Neurospora crassa OR74A: one gene and its partner. The main gene of each other region encodes a partner of the protein of the gene in region 2 in a complex. Links are inferred from orthologs where the notes say so. Each region holds a gene or a part of one and is shown on either strand. Other genes may lie near its edges. The genes, in order: NCU00564 and NCU09539.

What was found.
Region 1: NCU09539 (region 2) and NCU00564 share a complex: the UniProt entries of both Schizosaccharomyces pombe proteins name them as parts of the mitochondrial small ribosomal subunit. The link is inferred for Neurospora crassa OR74A from reciprocal best matches to the Schizosaccharomyces pombe genes sws2 and mrp2.

What each region holds. Positions count from the first base shown.
Region 1 is NC_026501.1:7,981,931-7,992,897, forward strand, and holds NCU00564 (mitochondrial 37S ribosomal protein MRP2), read right to left. Parts: upstream 6,261-10,967; 5' UTR 6,056-6,260; coding exon 5,949-6,055; intron 5,868-5,948; coding exon 5,696-5,867; intron 5,578-5,695; coding exon 5,515-5,577; 3' UTR 5,159-5,514; downstream 1-5,158. Other genes in the region: NCU00566 (synaptobrevin), read right to left, coding at 770-786, 851-920, 987-1,148, 1,648-1,749; NCU00565 (lipoic acid synthetase), read left to right, coding at 3,655-4,651, 4,713-5,008; NCU00563 (hypothetical protein), read left to right, coding at 7,567-7,634, 7,700-7,815, 7,886-8,565, 8,644-9,129; NCU00562 (hypothetical protein), read right to left, coding at 9,710-10,967. UniProt on the Schizosaccharomyces pombe protein: Component of the mitochondrial ribosome (mitoribosome), a dedicated translation machinery responsible for the synthesis of mitochondrial genome-encoded proteins, including at least some of the essential transmembrane subunits of the mitochondrial respiratory chain.
Region 2 is NC_026505.1:4,521,784-4,532,774, forward strand, and holds NCU09539 (putative mitochondrial 37S ribosomal protein SWS2), read right to left. Parts: upstream 5,964-10,991; 5' UTR 5,805-5,963; coding exon 5,802-5,804; intron 5,736-5,801; coding exon 5,691-5,735; intron 5,607-5,690; coding exon 5,295-5,606; 3' UTR 4,831-5,294; downstream 1-4,830. Other genes in the region: NCU09537 (rho-GTPase-activating protein 8), read right to left, coding at 1-998, 1,079-1,260, 1,329-1,374; NCU09538 (microsomal dipeptidase), read left to right, coding at 3,277-3,520, 3,571-3,783, 3,867-4,798; NCU09540 (hypothetical protein), read left to right, coding at 6,168-7,973. UniProt on the Schizosaccharomyces pombe protein: Component of the mitochondrial ribosome (mitoribosome), a dedicated translation machinery responsible for the synthesis of mitochondrial genome-encoded proteins, including at least some of the essential transmembrane subunits of the mitochondrial respiratory chain.

The DNA of each region.
Region 1 (10,967 bases), on a different chromosome or scaffold from region 2:
GCAAGATATGACTCCTTTGCATGAAGCTTTACGCGATATGATCACCTCATTTTTGTTTGCCGCTGTCTCTTCTCAACAGATTGAGAAGAAAATAACTCTCAAGGTGCACACGGTACGGAGTCACATCGAGGCTCCATCGTATGATGTACCTTGGGGTTCCCATTTCAGGCATTTTACGGTCCATGCCATGGCCCGGGTACAATGAGTGGAACCTGTGTCAACGACACCCGCATGGCAGCCGGTGCTCCGGCGTCGCCCCCGTCACCCCGCACCCGAACACAAAGTTGCCATCCGGTGCCGTACTCTAAACAAAGCATATACTACCCTGTCTGTGGGTGATAGGGAAAGGTAGAATTACTATTAGTAGGTGGATGGGTCATGATTCCGTCTTGATTAGCCATTCAAGAGTTGAGAAAACAACAGTACGCCTCCTCGCCTTTCGTCTCGTAGATACAGGGTGTATATGGTATAAGCGATGAACCTTTCCGCGCCGCCTCTAGCAGGTCGTGTGGTTCCGGGCATCAGTCGAAGAAGTCGTCACCAAGACCAAAGCCAAAGCCATCTCAACCAGCGAGGAGACCATGATATAACCGCGGCGATGAAAAGTTTCGAAAGGAAAAAAGAAAAAAAAAAGCAACCCAATACTGAATCCCAGTGAAGCACGATTTCCGTTCCCTGCGAATGCTAAAAAGCAAGCCAAATCCAGCTTCGTGCACTTCCTGACAACGTTTCTGTTTCACTCATCATAACCAAATCATTCACGAGCAGCTTAGCGCGTAGCAACGACTAGAAAGAGCCATGTTAGAAAACGCTTCTCAGTACTCATGGTTAAGTTTGAGGTCAAACATACCTGCTGGGACAATGATAATTACGAGCAAGATAATGATGCCCACAATCAAGCAGATGCGCATCTTCATGTCCTGTTGAAGTCAGTCAGTCAGTGGAAAGGCCCTTCCGTACAGCGCAAGCAGCGAGATAGTTCATACCTTCCACCACATCTTCTTGCGGACCTGGTTGGCACCACGACGAAAGCCTTGTGCACTAATAGCGAGGTCATCGGTCTTGGTTTGAAGAGCGTCGATCCTTTCACCACGCTGAGAGACCTTGTTGATGTTCTCGCGCATCACTCCGACAGTGTCGTCGATTTGCTATACTTCCGTCAGCCAAAATACCAGTAATGGCCGCAGCATGCCATAGAGTCACAACGATCCGACTATGATACGAGGCAATCCGTATCCGTCTGCTTGTCCCAACGATGCCGAGTTTCCCATGTAGTAGCTGTGTATGGCCTGTCACAGACAGTGCCATAGTCTTGTGCTTTGACCGCCATATCCGGAAGAGACCGGGGGCGCAACCATTCTTCCACCCAAATGCTCGTCCGGACGCTGGTGAGAGCAAGCCGACCGCGTGTTCATGCCATGCAATCCATCAATCCCCATCGGATCCATCAACTCGCCCGCATGCATAACTTTGGCCATTACATACCCTCCCTGAGACGATTCTCAAAAGCTAGGCGCGGTATTGTTGACAAGATCTTGTAATTACTTGACCTCGCGGGGATCAAGCAGACGGACGGCCCAAGCATTCCAGGGGTATCGTTCGATTCCACATTGCCAAAAGGTGCCATTTTAGGGGGAAACAACCCACCTGTTGCAGTCTGGCGGTTCCCGCGTTGTTGCCGGCACCTTGTTGCCCGGCGGCGCCATGCTGGCCGCTGGGGATATAAGGGTCGTACGGAGCGTCGGACATTGTTTTTGAGGGTGGCTGAATACGCAATAGATCGGTTGCTGTCAATTGAGCTTCAAGCGCGAGCTCTGGAAAAGGAGGATGTGATGGTGTTGAGGGTGTGTCGCGGGTTACGTTGCGGAAAGGGTCGTGATTTCGCTGGACGTTGTAGGGAGGGGAGGTCGGGTTTCCTTGTTGGAATGCAGAAGGTTGGCAATCAGAAAGGGCTGGTGAGGTGGTCTGGAGGTTGCAAGACGTTTGGGTTTGAGGGCGCAGGAACGAGGTCAGAGGACACTGCAGCCGGGCGGCTTGAATTCACCTAAGTGATTGGGTTGCCGCTAGCAGAGAAGAGGGCTAGGGTACGGGAGATACTAATGGTATTCACGCTCAATCTCATGCGCTGTTGTTAAGATCTGAGGTACACAAGCACGAGCCACAATCCCTTTTGTCCCTTCCAAGGAAGCCCCACAACAACCAGGAACCCAGGCACGGCCTGGCTTGACGCCAACAAATGTTTCTCATGCGAACCTCTTGTTTTCAGTCACATACCAGGGGCTTGGCCTAGGTTCGAAGATTTTGCGCTTTGTTCTGCTTCGGTCCTTTTGAGACGCAAAAGGCGATGTGGGTCGGTAGCTATCGCTTTGTGTTTTGTGCTTATGTTTAGAGTCGTCTTGATGGTCATTCTCTTTCAACCCGCTAGGAAGCTTCCACTTCGTTCAGCTTACGGATGGAAATAGGCACTGTACCTAGGTAACTGTGAGAGTGCCCACCAACAAGCACTCAGGGCGTCCCCCCCTCAGCTTCACCCCTCAGTGGCTATGCAGCTTCTGATGACGAACCAGACCAAGTTCAAGGTGCAGTGAGAAATCGGTCATTCGTCCATCTGAAAAGTCGCACGTGAAAACGCACTAGCCAGTAGCCACGGATCCGGTATTTTCCAACATGCACAAGAACGATCTCGAAGACTTAACTTTACCGCCTCAAGGTCTATAGATCTATGTATGTACATATCTACCCGAGAGACAAGTAAAGCTTAAGCTGGCGAGGTGATGACACGGTGAAGAGCCTGTCTTTCCCCTGAGTACTCCTGACTACGACACTTCACCGACTGCGCAGAGCTTACACTTAACCGCATTGGCACGGCATGTTCTCCTGTGTCGGGTCGGTTGTGTTGCAGCTTCGTTTCATCGACCATCTACATTATACATTCTTCACAATACCACTCACTACATATCTCGTACCTGGCCCCTCATACTCAACCGTCGAAGATGCCCGACTCACCGGCAAAAGCATCCACGGTATGCGGATGTTACGGCATCTTTCTCTCTGGTCCCCGGTCCACCTGAAGGGCCTGGAGGGGCTGTTGGAGCGAATGCCGTCAACCAGCAGATGCATATTCGACGGGATTTACATATATGGAAATGCACAAAAAGATATAAGCTCATGTCGTTCCAGGACCCTCGCCACTAACACCCAGTTCCACCTTTGGTGTAGCAAAATGTTGAAACAGATCGGGTAGGATTGTCTGCAAGTCAGTCAGTCGGCTGCTTCCAGACTCCCACGCGCAACAACATGGGGTGAACTGCTGGACTCCAAAAGGGTTCGCAAAATGGAGTCATCGCCGGCAGCACAAGGAATGGGGGTCCCGGTCTTGCCGGTTCAAGAGCTGCCTCTAATGCGCCCCGGCAGCTGGCGGGTATGATCGGCGTTACGTAACCGGACATGGGCGGCGTGGGCCACTAAAATTCATCAAAGGCTCCAAAAGCGCCGGCGCACCGGGGGGCCGAACTTTTTGTCTCCATCCCATGCTCCCCCAACGGTAGTCATCCATATCATCCGCATCCGCCACCCAAGATCCCCCGGCTTGTTTGCAGCAGTTCACGACTGGTAGGGTTCCGGCCAGCTCAACACCAAGACTTATCACACATCATGGCTTCACCGGTCCCGATCCAGCGTCTCCAGGCGCCTTTGCGGAGGTCTCTTGCGCGCGCCGCCGCCCTGTCGACTCGGTCATACGCCACCATCCCCTCTGGCCCATCCAGCCAGCCGACATCGCAAGAGTCATCATCAGCTGCATCCGCATCCGCGCCCGCAACCAAGCCGCGCCCGACCTACTTTAAGGACACCACTCTCGCTTCCCTCGACGACTTTATCGCAAACCAATCGTCAGCCGCTCCTCTCGCACCCAGCGAAGCTTACACCCTGCGCACAGCCGAAGTCGGACCCGCCGGCAAGAAGCGTACCATCACCCGCTTGCCTGAATGGCTCAAGACACCCATCCCAAGTGCTGGCGCGAACCCCGAATTTGCCAAGATCAAGGCCGACCTGCGTGGTCTCAATCTTCACACAGTATGCGAGGAAGCTAGGTGTCCCAATATCGGCGAATGCTGGGGCGGTTCTAACAAGGCCGCCGCGACGGCCACCATCATGCTTATGGGCGACACCTGCACACGTGGCTGCCGCTTCTGCAGCGTCAAGACAAGCCGCAAGCCGCCTCCGCTGGATCCTCACGAGCCCGAGAACACCGCTGAGGCTTTGGCCCGCTGGGGTCTCGGTTATGTTGTGCTGACGAGTGTCGACCGTGACGATCTGGCCGATGGTGGTGCCCGACACTTTGCAGAGACGATTCGCCGGATCAAGCAGAAGAAGCCGACCCTGCTTGTCGAGGCCTTGACCGGTGACTTTGCTGGTGACTTGGACATGGTTAAGATTGTGGCGGAGAGCGGACTGGATGTGTATGCGCATAACGTTGAGACTGTTGAGAACTTGACGCCTTACGTGCGTGATCGCCGTGCCACATTTCGCCAGAGTTTGAAGGTGTTGGAACACGTCAAGAAGGTCCGGGGCAAGGAAGGCATTATCACCAAGACCAGCATCATGCTTGGTCTGGGTGAGACTGAGGAGGAGCTCTGGGAGGCTTTGAGGGGTAAGTCATACCAATTGCGCTTGCCCATTTGATGGATGCTGACCATGATGTTGCTTTGTAGAATTGAGGAAGGTCGACGTCGATGTCGTTACCTTTGGACAGTACATGCGCCCAACCAAGAGACATCTCGCGGTCGAGAAGTACATCACTCCCGACGAGTTTGAGCTCTGGAGGCAGCGTGCGCTTGACATGGGCTTCCTGTACTGCGCTAGTGGTCCTCTGGTCCGTTCTTCATACAAGGCCGGCGAGGCTTTCATCGAGAACGTCTTGAGAAAGCGCTCTGGCGAGAAGGTTGTCTCTGAGGCTCTTGGTCAGGCGGTTGCCGCCGAGGAGGCGACTAGCGTCCAGTCCTCTTGAGGCAGCTTATGCTAGATGTGGTTTGCGGAGCGTGTTTCAACATTTATAATCGGGATCTAGGCTTTCACAGCTATCCTGTGGCGGGCAAAATAACAGACGGATGACGGATCGGTTATTAGGCACCTTGGGGGTTGCATGCGTTTTGGCGTTAGGGGAGATTGGTTCTTTCGATTACTTTGAAAAAGACATTCATTCGTTTGCCGTGTCTGAATATAATATTGTAACAACAATTCTACACAGCGGGCATCGGGAGAGAGATTCCCATGTCCAAAAGGATGCATCATACAAACTCCCTCTGCCCACTGAAAAGCTTTTGAAGCACTCCTCATCATGCGATCACTTACTTATACGGGTATCTCAAAAACCCTGCGTACAGTGATACTTTCTTACCAACACGATGGCCCGAGCCCATCTGGGTTTTGAACAGAGTTTATTCGCCTCTGGGCGTACCGGCACCATCTCCAAACCACAACAAACCTCTGGGTTCCTTGTAGCCATGCTCTCTTTTACCAAGAGGCCTTCTTGACACCCGGAATGTTACCCATCAGGGCGTTCATACGGAAATTGTACTGTTTGCGATCCAACAGTGTTAGCAAGTCGCGCGCCTTTGCAGGTTTCCATCATTCCCATGCGGAGCTCAGCTCTTAGGACACCACTCCTTCTTTGAAGCAATCGATAGCGACATACTCTTGTCATCTTGAAGTCCCTCAAGATACCTCGACTCTTTCCACCAAGGATGCAGCGGTTCCGGATCTGCGTGGGCCTGGTGTAGGCATGCATCTGGGTGAGCTGGAGCTGGGCGACGGCCCTGGTACGGGCAGGGAGGGTGGTGTTGCGAATAACGTAACGCAGGGCTTGTCTGTATCATAAAGCAAGGAGTCGTCAGATCGTTTGTGCTTATTATAGTCGCAAATAAGGATCGCAAGGCGTAGGTAGTTACCTCTCAGGCTCGGCCTCCAAAAAGGCCTTGCGCTTGGAGTGGTCACGAAGGACCCGGACGTTGGTGAAGCACCCGAGGTCGAGCTTCTTGGCACGAAACATGGACATTTTGGCGGTTTGGTGTTCTGGGGCAGATTGGCGGGCTGAGTCGGAGATGGGCGTCGATAGCGGCGGATCGAGGCGCGTAAATCGATGTCACAGGCACTGCAGTCGTTGCTTCCCTCCGGCGTCGTCGCCCGCTAGCCGCAGTCACTCTCCCCGGCTCCCACGGCGGCCAGTGGCCTGTGCGCTTGCCGTCCAGCCCTGCCGCGTGCGGAACGACAAATTCTGCCGGGCGGTGTCATTTTCATCGCAGGTTGCAAGCGCCAAACCAAGCAGCAACAAACACTTTGCCAGGTGTGCCAGTCGCACACCAGCTGGACGGCACTTTTTCTACGGGGCTCCACTCAAACTCTCAAGCTTGCAGCTCGTGCACAGGCCACATCTGGGCCTATTTAAGACTGGCCCCCCCTCCCAAATTTTTACCTGGTTTTTTCTTCTTTTTTTCTTTAGCTCTCTTTGCCTTTTGGCTTAGATCAAGTGTAGTATCTGTTCTTTTCAGTTTAATCTCTGAAACTGCTCTACGGAGTAGAATCGTGATTATTCTAATTTTTGCAACTCGGTCGGCATCCCTCTGGGCTTGCCTATGGTTGCCGACCACTGTGTCCCTGGTATTACACTGCCTCCAGGCGACGCGAACTCAACACTACTACTTGCTTTGTGCTCATCTTCACTTTTTCGTTGCAATCTCTGGCTACAGGCTGGGGGTGTGAGGAAGAAGGATTGTTTTGGATGGGTTGACTGAGTGGTGCCTTTCGAATCATTCTACCTACCAAAGATGTAGTTGTCGTATGCGAAACGAGTGTGTTAAGTTCACCCGTACCTTACCGAATACGTTGTTCACGGGTTGCAAAGGTTGATGCCTGCCGTTCGCATGTGACAACCACATCCACCACCACTTTCGTACGTTCGACGCACCCTTTACCAATGCCTTTGATGATCGCTGGTGTTTAGCAGTATACGTTCTATCAGTCTACGGATGATTGCTCTCGTTTGCAGCAACCTTGAGCCTGCCAAAAGAAACACCTGCATGTTGAAGCGGCTTTCGGTTTGTGTGCGACTGTTTCCTATGAAAATTGTTTGTCAAGCAAGTTATCTCTATGATGGGATGGGGAAGGTCTGGATGAGATGGGCAAGAGACCCTACAGTATGTCAACACCTTGACGGTTGCAATGTCATCGCGGTTTGGCCATTCATCTGAGGAGAGGGAGTCGAGTGTCTCGTTCGTTGTCTGTTTACCTTCTCATGTTCGCTCGTTAGTATCATCCCATTCCGTACTCCGACTTCGCCTATCTCGTTCTGTGCCTGAGAAGGGAAGAACAACTGCTGGGCTCCTTCCGTCCCATCTTCAACCGCTTCCGTGGCCTTCGAGTTTCTTCGCGATCCTCCAAGCAACGAAGTGTTTAAATACTCCTCGACGCGATCAGCGTTCTAGGCTATCCTTCCTCTCGCTTGCAACCGTCTTTTGACTCCTCCACAACAACGCACCCAGGAAACTCGACGACTTTCCAACATACAAGATGTTTCGTCGCCGTTGGTCAGGCCTTCCGGCTGAACCAAAGTTCGCCCCAGATCTCAAGAAGCTCAGGTTCGTGATAATCTGCCTAGTCATCCTTCCCACGACACTCACTCTGATATATCTTGTGCGTATAGTTATTTCATCAACGAGGAAGATGAAGTTCGCTACGTGCATGACCCCGACTTCTACTTCAAGTATTTCTCGACCAAGAACACGAGGTACAACGACTGCCAGCGCTTCGCATTCGACCGTATGTAACAAACTCCCTATTTCTTACAATAGTTTGAGCTGATACTGACCCAAATGTTGCAATCTAACAGAGGCAGTCAACCAAATCATCGACTCACGGCTGGAAGCCGAGGGTCTAAAGGAAGTCCTCCTCCCGCTCGGGGTTGCCAGCAAAGATGAACCTCACGCCAAGATCCGTCTCAGCGAGGATCTCTCTAGCAAGTCACGCGTCGTGATCATCTTCGGCCAGTCTTGCCAGGACTTTGGCATTCTGGCACACCGTGTCGCTAGCGGACAGGGTGGTCTCAACAAGGGCTCGATGGTGAACATAGTCAAGGCTCTCAAGCAGCAGAAGTCTTCCGCCACCGACGACGCTGCCCCTGGTATCATTCTCGCCAACCCCGGTGACCTCTGGTGGTGGCCTGAAGGGAAGAAAGGGCTGAGTGAATTTGCTCGTCATCAGATTCCGGGTAGCAGTCTGGTTCACTGGGGCTGGCACCACGATCCGGCGAGGAACAGCATTTCGGAGAATGCCAATCCGACGGAGCACCTCAAGTATATCTTTGAGAAGGTGGTGCCGCAGTTCGTCAACGATAAGGCCAAGATCGATGTCATCGCGCTTGGTGACATGTCGGACGAGGTGGAGCAGTATCTCGACAATGACGATGTTTGGGCGAAGATCGGACATAGGCTGAACGCTCTTGTTGTGCTGGGTGGCTTTTACGATATGCGTGAGGCAAAATGCCCGGGCTTCAAGAAGTTCATGGATCAGGTATGTTGCGCCTTCTCCTTCTCGCTGGGCCTTTGACCCAGTTTAAATGACCCAGCTAACGAAGCAATTTTCACACAGCGTGGGCGTGCCTACATCATGAATCAAGATCCCCTCGATACCCTTATCGCTGGCCCTGAGGGCGGTAGCCGCGCCGTCACCGGCTACGTCGGCTACGGTTGCCCTACCTACAGTGTCGGCCCGGACGCCTTTGTCATGGAGCTTGTGCTCGTAGAAGCCGGCTCAGCGGTCTTGAAGTGGCTGCAGGATGTCGCCCTGGACAAGGATTACGTTAATGAGAGAGTTCACATCTTCTTCCCTGAGGAAGAGGAGGATGACGGTAAATGGCCAGGATGGGATAAGGACGACAACGATGAGTCTAAGGGGTCCAAGAGAATCGAGGAACAAGACCATGAAGAGACCAAGAGGATCCAAGTCAGAGTCCAGAGAGACGCCCAGCCTCCCAAGATGGATGAATGCGAGGGTATCGACGAGGAGTTCGTCAAGGAAATTGCCAAGAGAGAAAAGATGGCGGATGGCAATGCCGGCTCAGAGGAGGAGACCTAAGACACCTTCTGGAAACCCAAGACTGGTGGTTCCTTGCAGAAAGATCAGTCAAGGGGTCGAGTAAAAATCTTCCTGGCTACAAGGATGAGTAGGACGGGGTTGCTACACCCATTTAGAAGGGGAAACGTGATTGTGGCCCTCTCAAAACATCACCATATTTCTGGCATCAAAGGGCAGTGGCTGAATCAAGATCATCTGCCAATTACTCAGAGATAGGCCAATTTTCAGGAGTTTCGAATCGATAGATAGCCGAACTCACATAGTCTCCTTGCGATGAGTTTGTCCAACAATTGTGAATTTGGGCAAGGAGTGCTGTATCCTGCCTTGCCCTCAAAGTACTAAGCTTCCGTTATACGTACAATGCTTGAAGCAAACTACCGAACATACAATCATACATACTACAACACTAACAAGCGAGTAGCTGCTCTATGCCCATTTGTCCTGTGCTCCTTCTCACTAATGCATTTCAAGATACAGTCCCGGTCACACTCTCTGATCAACGAGCTGGTGGACCGAGTGAGTGGTAGGCTGCTTCGCGGCCGCACCATAATCCATCCATCCATCCCAGCCATCCAGGGATCTAAGCCTGCAAAAATGACAAAAACCCCCTGTTCCCCGTTGCCAACTCCTCCAACAAATCTGCCGCCCTCCTCTGTCTCTCGGCAATAACCTTCTCCTCCGCCGCCCACCTATTCAAATCCTCCTGCTTGTGTTCGCCCTGTCCCCAGAAGCTCCACCAACTCGTTTTGTTTTGCTTGTCGAGGTCCGGATTCCTTTCCAGCTCCTCTTTCTTGGCTTTCTCGTCCCTCGCCAGCCTCGAAACCATCATCGTCCAGTTCTCTAAACCTGCAGCCAGACACTCGCGGCATGTAAGTCTGGCGGCCATGGCAGACTGCTTGTTGCTTAGACCACGGAGTTGTTCTTCGGCGATGTCGACTGCTTCGCGAGTCCAGCCTAGACCTTCTTCGCGGTGGGAATGAGCAGTTGTGGCTGAAGTGTTGTTGTTGCTGTTGTTGGTGGTAGGCTTGGCAGTGTACATGATCTCCCCGATATGCAGACTCAGCGCGGCCTCCTCACATCGTTCCTTGGCATCGCGCAAAGGGGGGAAGGTGCCATCCTCAGGCGGGTCGGGGTAAGGAGGTTCCTTGAGGAGGGCTAGAACGGCGCCGGCCCAGGTTTGTTTCTTTTGTGGAAGGGGTGGGATGCGGCGCGGGTCGGAAGTTGGAAGGGCCTTGCGCGCTTGGAGGATGGAGACGAGCATGGGAAGCGCGGAGGAGACGTCGCCGTTGCGGGCGCGGAAGGTGGCGAGCGCAGTGATGGATTGCAGGAGGTTGGACGAGGGATGGTGGCCGGCGGCGTCGATGAGGGTGTAACTTTTGGTGTCCAGGGGGTAATGGCCGCCGGTGAGGAGAGCTTGCTCGCTGGCGGCGAGGTGGACGGCGTCTTCGAGGATGATGTTGGCGGGTCCCGTGATCTGCTTGAATTCAAGCCAGGTGGCGTAGGCGAGGCCGGCTTCCATGCGCTGTCGGTTGGTGAGACCTTCGGTGCAGAGGATGCGCATGTAGATCTCGTTGGGCGACTCGAAGGTCGGCACGCAATCGTCCTCTTTGGGCGGTCGGTAGTTCTCGTTGGGGAGGGGGCGCGGGTTGGGGTTGGAGGGACCGATCACGTAGTCGTTCGGGATGGTGAGGTTTTGGGTTTTGTCGGTTACCCACTTCTCGACGTTCTCTGCGGCCTTTGCGTACAACATCATGGCTTCGTAGTAGCCCCGTCTCCAGTTCTCCGACATGGAGCTGATGTCCTTGGTGCCTTTTGGCCTGTCGGACGGCGCATCCTTC
Region 2 (10,991 bases):
GAAAAGTCCAACACCACGGTCTTGATAGCCTTGAGCCTGTCAAGCTCGCAACGCTCGAGGAACTTGAGGTGCAGAAAGATGGCCTCCTCCAGCTCACACCGCATCTCATCCAGCTTCTGGACGGCAGCCTTGTACTTCTCATCAGCTTCTCTGGCCTCACGGCGCATGCGCTCAGACGGAGTCTCGTTGGGGCGTCCATTGTTGACACCGGGGATGTTCCAGTTGGCAAGGTACTCGCTCACGACACCGACAACTGGCGAGTCGTTCCCTTCGGATCCGTTGGATAGGGGCATCGAGAATGTTCGGCCAACGGGAGCCTTCTTTTCCGGAACACCAGCCAGCTTGAACGCCTGAGGGCGCCATTGGTAGGACATCCTGGAACTGTTGGCGAAAGTGTTTCCGACATTACCGATCAGACGCAGGAAGCCGTGGGTGATGAGATCCTGGCCGATTCTCTCAGCATAACTGATGCTCGTAGTGCCCATATGCCGCTGCAAGTATTCGACAATATCCGTACCAGCCGATGTGTTCTGGTACGTTCCCAGGATCGGGACCTTGGTCTCGCCCATCTTGATGTTGTTGAGCATGTGGGCGAGGATCTTCTTGATCTGGTCAGGCGAATAGGTCTCATCGCCAATCTCGTACGGCTCGTCATCTTCCTCCTCCTCGGGCTCAACCTTGATTTCGGGAATTGGCTGCTTGGGTTTCGGGCTCGCTGCCGATTCGGGGTCTTGGAAGGCCAACTTGTTTTCTTCTTCGAGATCCTCTACCAGGCGGCACTTGTTGAAATAGTTGCTGCGCAGCTTCTTGACGAGTTCGGCTTGTTTGTCGTGGGCCTTGATCTTTGCCTGGAGCTCTTCCTGCGAATTTTGTAGCCGAGATTCGTGGGCGTCGCACCAGCGCGTAAAGGGGTTCACAACTAGATCTCGGATGTTTTGCGCAATTTTCTTGTGGTTCTTGGAGGCGTCTTCCATCTCGGTCCGCACACCCTCATAAGCCTGGCGGGGGAGACAAGTCAGTCAACGCTGTCTCGGCCAAGATGAAGCCTGGTCTGGCTTTGCTGGCATGTGATTCGTACCTTGCGCACACTTGCGCCATCGTCGCGGTTGAAGCCGTTCGGGATCTTGTCAACGGCAGGGGCGATTTCGGATAGACGCTGACCATACACGTCCTCGGCTTCGGCGCGCATGCGAGCGATGGTCAGGAGTTGGCGGTTTTCGACCACGCCTTGCTGGAGCTTGCCAAACAGGACCCCGAGGCCTGAGCACGTGTGCGTCAGCACGGCCGACAACGACAGCGGATCTACTGGCGACAGCCAAACTACTTACCTGCGGCGTAGTCGTTGGACCAGAAGGAGTCCGCGAAGCCCGGCATTGTGGTAAGGAGGGCTATCGCTCGATAGGATGAGTCGGTGGTATGTAGCAGAGACGATGATGTTTGGGATGAATTAACTGTGGGAAAACTTGTGGCAGCAGGGGCAGCGAGAGTTTTTGGTCGGCGCGCGACGCTGGAGTGAGGCTGAGGCAAGCAGGATCCCAGCTGATAATCCTCGCCTAGGTCTGATTGAGGAGAGGCCGGTGAATACGGTATACGATCCGTCAGGGTAGTCCAAGTCGGGGTCCGGGGTGGTTGATCCCGTCAGTGTCGTTTCTCGAAGAGCCAGTTGAACTAGGCGGCGGGAAGGTGGGTAAGTCTGGCGGGTCTGGGATTAAAGGGGGGGCGCAGCGCCGCCGAGTGGCCTGGGGATGGAGACGACGCAGGCACCGTGATAGCAGCGGGGGTCTCTTTCAACGGAGCTCAATGCCGGTCTCCTTGTCGTGGGATCCAACTATCCGGATATGGGACCAAATCACTACCTGGATAGTCGACTAGGTACCTGGGTGATGAGCATGAAGTTGGCGGTGATCGCCGACGGAACTAGGAAGGAACAACAAGAGCAAAATGCAGTGGCCTGCTAAAGTGTCAAAGTAAAAAGAAGTGAAGTTGAAGAAACGCTGGGGGGGGGGCTTCAGGGGAGGGGAAGGAGAAGCACCGGCAGCCAAATTGGAAAGACACAAGGCAAAAGTCCAGTCGTTGTCGATGTCGCAGTCAGAAATAGCAGTCAGTGAGCACAAGGGACGAACGGGCATTCGTGAAACAGGGGCAACACACACTCAAACTTCTTCAAGTACAGCACGCAGATGGGTGCACTTCCTTTACCTACACTAGAAGAGGTGGACGGCAGGATGTGGTGCGCTTGCAGGTAGGTAAGTCTGGTAAGGTAGGTACGGGCAGGCCGAGTGGAAGTGGTGGAGGTGCAGGGACGGTGTCCACCGAGAAGTGTCATGGTGGGTTGGCTGTCATCGGGCAGCCAAGTCTCACTCATTCAGTTCCAAGTTTCATTGGAGGAGGGGCAGCGTCAGAAGGATCCACACGTGAGGTACAAGTACGCCCTAAAATAGGTAACCTCAACCTCCTCGTGTAGGGGTCGAGGGGTCTTGAGACGGGATGGAGCCTATCAAACTCAAGTTCCCGTGTCTGTTTCTTTCTGGAAACGTAGTTTTACACTTCTACACTACTTGAAGGTGAATGGTCTGCGGATTAGTGCTGAACTGAATGACTGAGACTTGGGCTGTGAACCCCACTGTCCCTCCTCGGATGTCCATGCCAAGACCGCTCTCTCGTTGGATGTCCAGACCACAAAGTGTAGCAAAGCATCACCATCGGGCAGCTTCGCCGCCAGCAGAGTTAAGGTCGCCGATGAGATACAACAGAATATGAACATTTGAGTAGTATTGTGCTTCGGGCTCGTCATGTACTTTGATGGGAGATGAAGGAACTGGCACGGCCCAAAGGCTGTGGTCCCGTCAGTTATGGATGCTGCACTTTATACATATACGCCAAGATACCCACTCTACGAACCACTCAGTAGACGTGTAGATCTCAGTTGGAGTAACTGTTCATGACTCCTTTCGACATTACCTATTCGTGCCTTGACTCGGATTCTAGATGTAGTCGCTTGAGACGCACCGGTAGGTCTACACTAAGTATACACGCTTCTTTTGCATCTAACTCAAGAAGTGTATGCATTTCCAGGTCGCATCATCAATGACATGACAACGCCGCGGACTATCAACTAAGATGAAGTAACCCCGCTAAGCTTTAGGCGATTTCTAATCCTTCAACGACAACACCGTAAACACGCTCCCCTGTTTCTACTTACGCATCTCTTTTCCCTTTTCCCTCATTCATCGCTTTTTCGGCCATAACGTTGGTGAAACAGTCGTCCCTGAGAAGATGAAGGAAGAAAAGACCCGCGATGTCGGGGATGATGTTGAGCGTTTATCCGCCCCCAACACGCGCCGTCAACGGCGAGGATTCGGCCGCAAGTTCTGGGCCGCCGTGATCATCTCTCTTTTATTGCTTCACCTTCTCGTCCGACCCGCCAGCTATGGCATGTCGGGTTGCCTGCCCAGCTACCCGAGGGAGAAGAGCATTGAAAAACGCGTGAAGCGTATCCTGTCACACACTCCATTGATCGGTACGACCACAAATCAATAATTATTCACCAAATACTGACATAGAGTATAGATGGACACAATGATTTGCCAATCCTGCTGCGAGCCGCTTTCAAGAACCACATCAATGACAAGAACTTTACCACCGGCTGGGAAGACGGCACGCTCCCCGGTCATGTCGACCTTGCACGCCTGAGAGCTGGTATGAACGGAGGGGCCTTCTGGAGCTTGTTCTGGCCTTGCCCTGCCAACGGCTCCGACTTTTCTGATGAAAACTATCTGCCCGGTGGGTTCAACCTTTCACGCAGCCTTACTGCATAGCACGTCAAGAGAAAAAGAGTCTGACATTATCCCTTTCCAACCACACAGCCGTCCAGGCTACCCTCCAACAGATCGACCTAGTCGACCGCCTCAAAGCCGCCTATCCCAAGGACCTCGGGCCGGCAGTCTCCAGCAAAGCCGCCTACAAGGCCTGGAAGCACCACAACCAGCTCATCTCGCCCATGGGCATCGAGGGCCTGCACCAGATCGGCAACTCGGCCGCCACGCTGCGGCGCTACCACGCCCTGGGCGTCCGCTACGCGACCTTGGTCCACAACTGCGGCAACAAGTACGCCGACGCCGCCCTGCAGGAGAACCCATTCCGCAAGGCCCCGTCCCACTGGGGCGGCGTCAGCCCGGCCGGCGAAGCCCTAGTCAACGAGATGAACCGCATCGGCATGATCGTGGATCTGGCCCACACCAGCGTCGACACGATGAAGGATGTTTTGGGTGGCTCGGGCAAGGACTGGAATGGCAGCAGGGCCCCTGTCATCTTCAGCCACTCGAGCGCCTACGCGCTGTGCCCCCACCCGCGCAACGTGCCGGATGACGTCCTTCGTCTGGTCAAGGAGCGCAACTCGCTGGTTATGGTCAACTTCTCACCCGACTTTATCTCGTGCGTGGCGGCGCCGGACAGGGACGATGGGCTGCCGGATTTTTACCCGGCCAATGCGACTCTGGAGCATGTGGCTGACCATATCATTCATATTGGCGAGCTGATTGGATATGATCATGTCGGTCTGGGTAGTGACTTTGATGGGATTCCAGTCGTCCCGAAGGGACTGGAAGATGTCTCGCGCTACCCGGACTTGGTGGCCGAGCTGCTTCGACGGGGTGTTAGTGATGAGGATGTGAGCAAGGTCGTGGGCGGTAACATACTCCGCGTGTGGAGGGATGTTGAGCTCGTGGCGGCTACGATGCAAGCTGCTGGTGAGTCGGCTCTGGAGGATGATCTGCCTAACTTGATGCCCGAGGAGTAGACATCTGAATGGGCGGCACGTAGAGAAAATTACCGTGTTTCCGCAAAGTTTTGTGGCAGCGTAGATAGCTCCAAGATGAGCCTGCAGATGGCAAGCTGCTTATATAAAGACACAAGATCTGGCTAGCATATAGACTCGGGAATTGGGTATCATAAATGTCTGTCGTGATTCGAGTCAATAAGCAAAAAGTTGCCCGTGTTTTGACTTGATCCGATGAATTGCTCTACAACGCCGCGCCTGATTCCTTTTGCGTCCCAGCGTGTCTTCGTTCTGGCTTGACGTATCGTACACTGATTTTGCCTGCCTGCCTGCTCTAAAAGCTCGACAACACCCAGCCGAGCCACGTCAGGCACATCTCTTTCTTCTCTGTCCATGCGTTCGATCCCATGGTCCGACAGCTATCGAAGCAAATGTCGCGTAGCAGAATTGCTCCAGAAATATCCAGACGTCATGGTATTCTCCAAGGTTCCCGTCACCATTACCGTCATCGACTCGCTCAACCGTGGCGCTCGATCTTGTTGAGCTTCCTGGCGTTGGCGATCTGGTTCCTCGTCTGCTGACCGCGCACGGGCAGACCCATGGCATGGCGACGACCGCGGTAGGTACCCATATCACGGAGGCGCTTGATGTTGTCCAGCACCAGCCTCCTGGCGTCGTTCTCGATTGTCATGGTCGACAGTTCGGCCGTCAGGGCAGTGACGATCTTGGGCGGGAGGGTGCCCATCTTCGCGCGCGGGTGGATCGAATACTTTGCGAGAATGCGGGCAGAGGCCTGCTGGCCTAGGCCGTAGAAGCTCTCGAGAGCTTTCTGTGGTTCGCAAGTGGAAGGTTAACCAGGGTGATTCTTGGAGCGCAGAGGAGGACGAGGACGAGGACGAGGAGGAGAGCGCACCTGGACGAGCTTGTGCTCATTGAAGTTGACTCCCAGGATGAACACCTAGCAATAAAATGTTAGAACTTTTGGACAAATATTCCCGGAAATCGCAGAGGCCGTTGTAGGTACCATCTTGTTAGCCGACGATAAGTCACCTTGTCGCAATGGGCATAACTCGGTTCAGGAATCGCGGAGGAGTCTCGACTCTCAGCTCTCAGCAACCCGCAACCCGCGATTTGGAACCGGGCGTGCAGACTTGCCGGGCAGGCGGCGGATCGTGGGGGAGCCCGCATTGGCCGGTGCAAATCCGCAGCGGAGCATTTGGGGTGCGGGACAGCTGGCATCCCATGCTCCGCCAGCTGTCGCCATAAAGGTTATACACATGCGATTGTACCTCATGCATACACTTTACCGTATGAGTCTTGCGAAAAGAAAGCCAAAATTTCATGGCGATGTGCCAAAAATGCAGATGAACAACCACTCACCATACACATCATGACGATCGACTTTACTGCGAGGCCAGAAAAGCCTCTTCCATACTCGGATGATTTTTCATCTGCAGACCAATATGTCGACAGTCTGCTGGACTTTGCGACCAATTCCCACCTTTTCCAGTTTCTCTGTGGTGGTGTCCACATTCTTGACTTCTTCACCAGCGAGCCCGGCCTATTTGTCTCTGCCGTTCCCAAGGAATGGCAGGAGTACCTGGTGCAGACCGAGCCCATGGTCCTTTTGGATTTCTTGATGAGAGATGATCTTGACACACTTGCCGCGCAAACTGGCCCGGGACAGCCTCCCGAGACGCTGGTTCAATATGTCAAGGATATCAGGAAACTTTCTTTACGACGCTCCTTCCAGCCCAGCAAGCCAAAACTACCGGTGCTTCCTCGGCAGGTAGCTTTGGGAATGAACACCAAGAAAGTTCACGAAGTCACTCACTTTTCCGGATACATCGACAGGCTCTCGGAGGACGTCGCTCGGGTGAGGGGACAGGAACTGACGCACTTGGTAGACTTTGGCAGTGGCCAGAATTATCTAGGCCGCGCTCTGGCGAGTCCTCCGTACAACAAGCATATTGTTGCCGTGGAGAGCAAGGAGGCCAACACAGCAGGCGCTAAGGATCTCGATATCTTGTCCGGTCTAGCTGAGCGGGAGAAGAGAATCCGCAACAAGAAGCTCTACCACCGCATTATGGAAAGTGTAGATCCGTCAGAAGCCAACGATGAAGAGGCACTGAAGCGCGCCGCAAAGGCACTGGGTGTGACAGACGAAGATATTGCTACCATTGATCTCCGATCGAGAAAGGAGCTTCAGGCCACTTATGCGCGGGAGGAAGGAAAGGGCAGCATTGAGTACGTCGTTGCCAAGTTGGGAGATGCCGACTTGGCCCCTGTGATCTCCCAGCTGGAGTACACGGAAACTCACAGCGAGGATGATCTCAGCATGATGGCTGTGTCCATCCACTCATGTGGCAACCTCTCTCACTACGGCATCCGGTCCATGGTCCTCAACTCGTCTATCCACGCCGTTGCAATCGTGGGTTGCTGCTACAACCTTCTCACCGAAAAACTGGGTCCTCCGACTTTCAAGCCTTGCTTCAGTCGGCCAACCCTTCAGCCATTGAATGCTCGTGTTGTTAGGGAGTCCGAGAGACGAGATCCCCAGGGTTTCCCCATGAGTGAGAAACTCTCCACCTACAATGACCAAGGCATCCGACTCAACATTACAGCGCGTATGATGGCGTGCCAAGCACCCGGGAACTGGACCGACAAGGAGAGCGATGCCTTCTTCACCCGCCACTTTTACCGCGCCGTCTTGCAAAGGATATTCCTCGACAAGGGGGTCATTTCCAAGGTCTACCACGGGCCAAGCGAGGGCGAGGGCGAGGGCGAGGATGGCAACGAGAGCCCGTTCAACTTCAGCACCAACCCCGTCGTGATCGGCTCACTCAGGAAGCAATGCTACACCTCGTTCAGCGCCTACGTCCGCGGAGCGATCACGAAGCTAACGACCAACTCGGACTTTAGCCAGTACAGCCAGATTGTACGCGAGAAGCTAAGTGACATCACCGACGAGGAGATTGCCAAGTACGAGGCCGCGTACCTGCCCCGAAAGCGGGAGCTCAGCGCAGTCTGGAGCCTGATGGCCTTTAGCGCGTGCGTTGTTGAGTCCCTTATCGTGACTGACCGGTACCTGTTCCTCAAGGAACATTCCGATATTGTTCGCGACTGCTGGGTGGAGACAGTATTTGACTATGGCCAGAGCCCTCGAAATCTCGTCGTTGTGGGTATCAAGAAATAAGAAGACGTGTAGGAAAATAAAACGATGTCGGATGAGTTGTCTCCTCTTCCCCAGCCACCTTTGTCTTTCACGCATACCTACCTATACAGCAATCTCTCGGATATTGTACCCCTGGGGTTGTGCGGGATGTTGTAAGACATTTGACTTGTTGACCTGATATATCTATTTTTGTGTCCGTCCAGGTTATACCCTATGTCTACCTATCCCGGGGGTTTTATTCCGCAAATGGAGAGAGTTGCAGGACTGTCGTTCCGAATTTCTGCACGCCTTCGGTTCGGCTAATGGTCGCATCCTTCTTCGATGGGGAACTGCCATTCAGCATGTCGCAATAGGTTGAAGCGATCTGTCCCACGCTGCAGCAGCATTACCCCTAGATCGGAGAGCTCTTAGCCTTCTTGCAGTTTGCCGTTGCATGTTGAGCCGAATAAGAAGACTCGACATTCCGATGATCATCAAGCATGGTCTTTGGTATGCCGGATCCCCTAGTCACTTGCATGGTGTTTGATAATTTGCTTCCGGACAGACGCTGTCACCAGACAAAGTGAAAGCCAGAACTCGGTCCGATGATCGGTGTCTAAACCTTCTCTTCCAGGTGGCACAAGCTCGGGTACCGCGACCTGTCAAGCAGAAGCAGATCAAACCGGAACATACAATTGAACCTTTTTGACCAATCATGCGGGAACGAACAAAGCTTTGAAACAGAGGCGTTCTTTTCTGCGTTATCTCTTGTCTCTTGTTGTACAAAGGCAAGTTCAAGTTCTCGGTGTGGCTTCTGACGTGCCGCGTTTTCTCGACATGACCGGTGTGTAACTGGAAGGGATACTATCAGGTGAAGGCTGGCGAAGGCTCGAGAAGTTGGCTGTTTCCGAAGATGGTCGACATGTGCTTCCTCCTGGCTATAGTGATCCAATCCAGGCTGACTACTAGAAAGGAATAGAGGGGAAAGAAGGAGAGGGGGGGTTCACTTCTCGGGATTTGATCTGTCTTTTTTTGCGCCACTCCACAAGAGAGGCTTCCCCCACACTTTCTGCTGCCCAAAGAGAAGAACCAATAACTCTTTTGCGAGAGTTAATTGTTGTTGCGGTGGCGCCAGGTCACCAGCAATGAGGTGAAACTGAAAGGCTGTGAAAGAACCCATGGCTGACAGGCAGGCAACCTCGAGGGCGCAAGCAGAGGTGAGGTACCTGCGTTTCGTCCTTTGACTTTGCTTTACATGTATAGTACACTACATTGCTTAGTGCCGGCATTGTAGGTACATTGGGAGGTATGCGTTGTAACCCATCTGTCTTACTGGCGTTTGCCCAGAGTGGTGGAGCTGGAGATGCAAAACAGAAAGAAGTAGACACCTCTCCTAACGACATCTTCCACTCATGATGTGCTTGGCAATGATTCGAATCGGAGTGATCTTGAATCTTAGTGCAGTCCGGCAAAGACCGCAATCTGTACGCTGGAATCAACATCCATCATCAAGAAGGCAAAGTGAGACAGAGATGATGGGAATCGGTTGCAGTATTTCGAGAACGCTAGATGCACCCGAGGTGCTTGACATGACAAGCGCCCGCGGTTACCTGCAGGTGCGCGAGCATGGAGGTGGATAACTTGAAGTGATGTGCCGAAGACACCTGCCCCCCCTGGTTCTGATACACTAGAAAGACATTGTTCACCGGGTTTCCTCCACTCCTTTTTTTTCTTCTGACATTTTCTTTTTATGTTTTGTCGAGTTCTATCACACATACGTAGCTACCTATGCAAGGCGCCTGACCGACCGATAGATACCCCCACAGGCGATCTCATGTGATAGAAAGCTCTCGGACCCTTACTGGGTCTGGTTCGATACCTATAACGGAAGCGTGTCCGGACTGTTGTTCTTCACATCGCCTACCCCACCACCTGCACTGGACCTAAGGTTCTACTCCATGCGTACACTAACATAGAGGTACACTACACCTATCGTCAACCCCTGGGTATGCAGCCTGGTGATCTATCCAAATATTTGAATCGAGGACTTGCATCGATCGCCATAGCACTAAATACTGCATCGCATGCAGGCATCAGTACTATATGCCGGCGGACTTCGTCTTTAGGTTCTACCACCGTGGGGTTCGAAAGAGGTTCTCCAACACGATGGCCAGGGCCCCGGCTTAGGTTATAGCACAATCACGGGCAGGTAAGGTACCTCTACCTTATCAGTTCTTCTCCCGGACCCAGACGCTTCCCCCCGATCTCGGGTCGGGTCCCCTTCATCCTCTGTCCCGCCAAGCTTTACAATGTCACAAAGAGAGCAAGTAGATACTGTACTCAGCAGATGGAGAACTGAAGAAGGAAGTGTGAACTGGAGAAGCGCTCACTCCTCTTACATTCATCACTTTGACGAACGAACTTCCACTTGTTTTCGATATCCCCATGTCTTTTTTCCCTCTTTTGTTTTTCTGAACCTTCGCTTATCCATCCCAAATTTCTTTAATAGCTCCATGTATCCTGGCCCTTCTGGTCCTTGCTCTCTTCGTTGACTCATCCATCCTTTCCACTTCCACAATCTCCTATCTTGTATACTTTGACGATACTCCCCCACCTACCCATAGAGTTCCCTTTCCATCTCGCGTCCTCGGTGACTGGACTCGCGTCTCTATCAGTCCGACCGAGCCTACTTTGTTTCACATAGCTACTTGCTGATCCACCTATCTATCTCCTATCTTTCAGATCGACAACCCAAGAACTGACATTTTGTGACGTGACGTTCGACGGACTCCGCTTTGATTGTACGGAATAGATCGGGAGTCCGGAACAGTCACCTACCCAAACGATCCAGTGGACCCCTCAAAACGCACCTCACTTTCGCCTTACCCAGGTGTTACTCCAAAAACTGTTTAAAGCTCAACTCCTCTTTTTCGAGACGTCACAAGGTCACACCTTGATCACCTCATTTCTCATCACTCCTTCGACGCCATTCATTTGATCTTTGTTTTATTTTATTTTATTTCCAAAGGGGAAGAATCATCGCAGGAAATAGAAGTGACA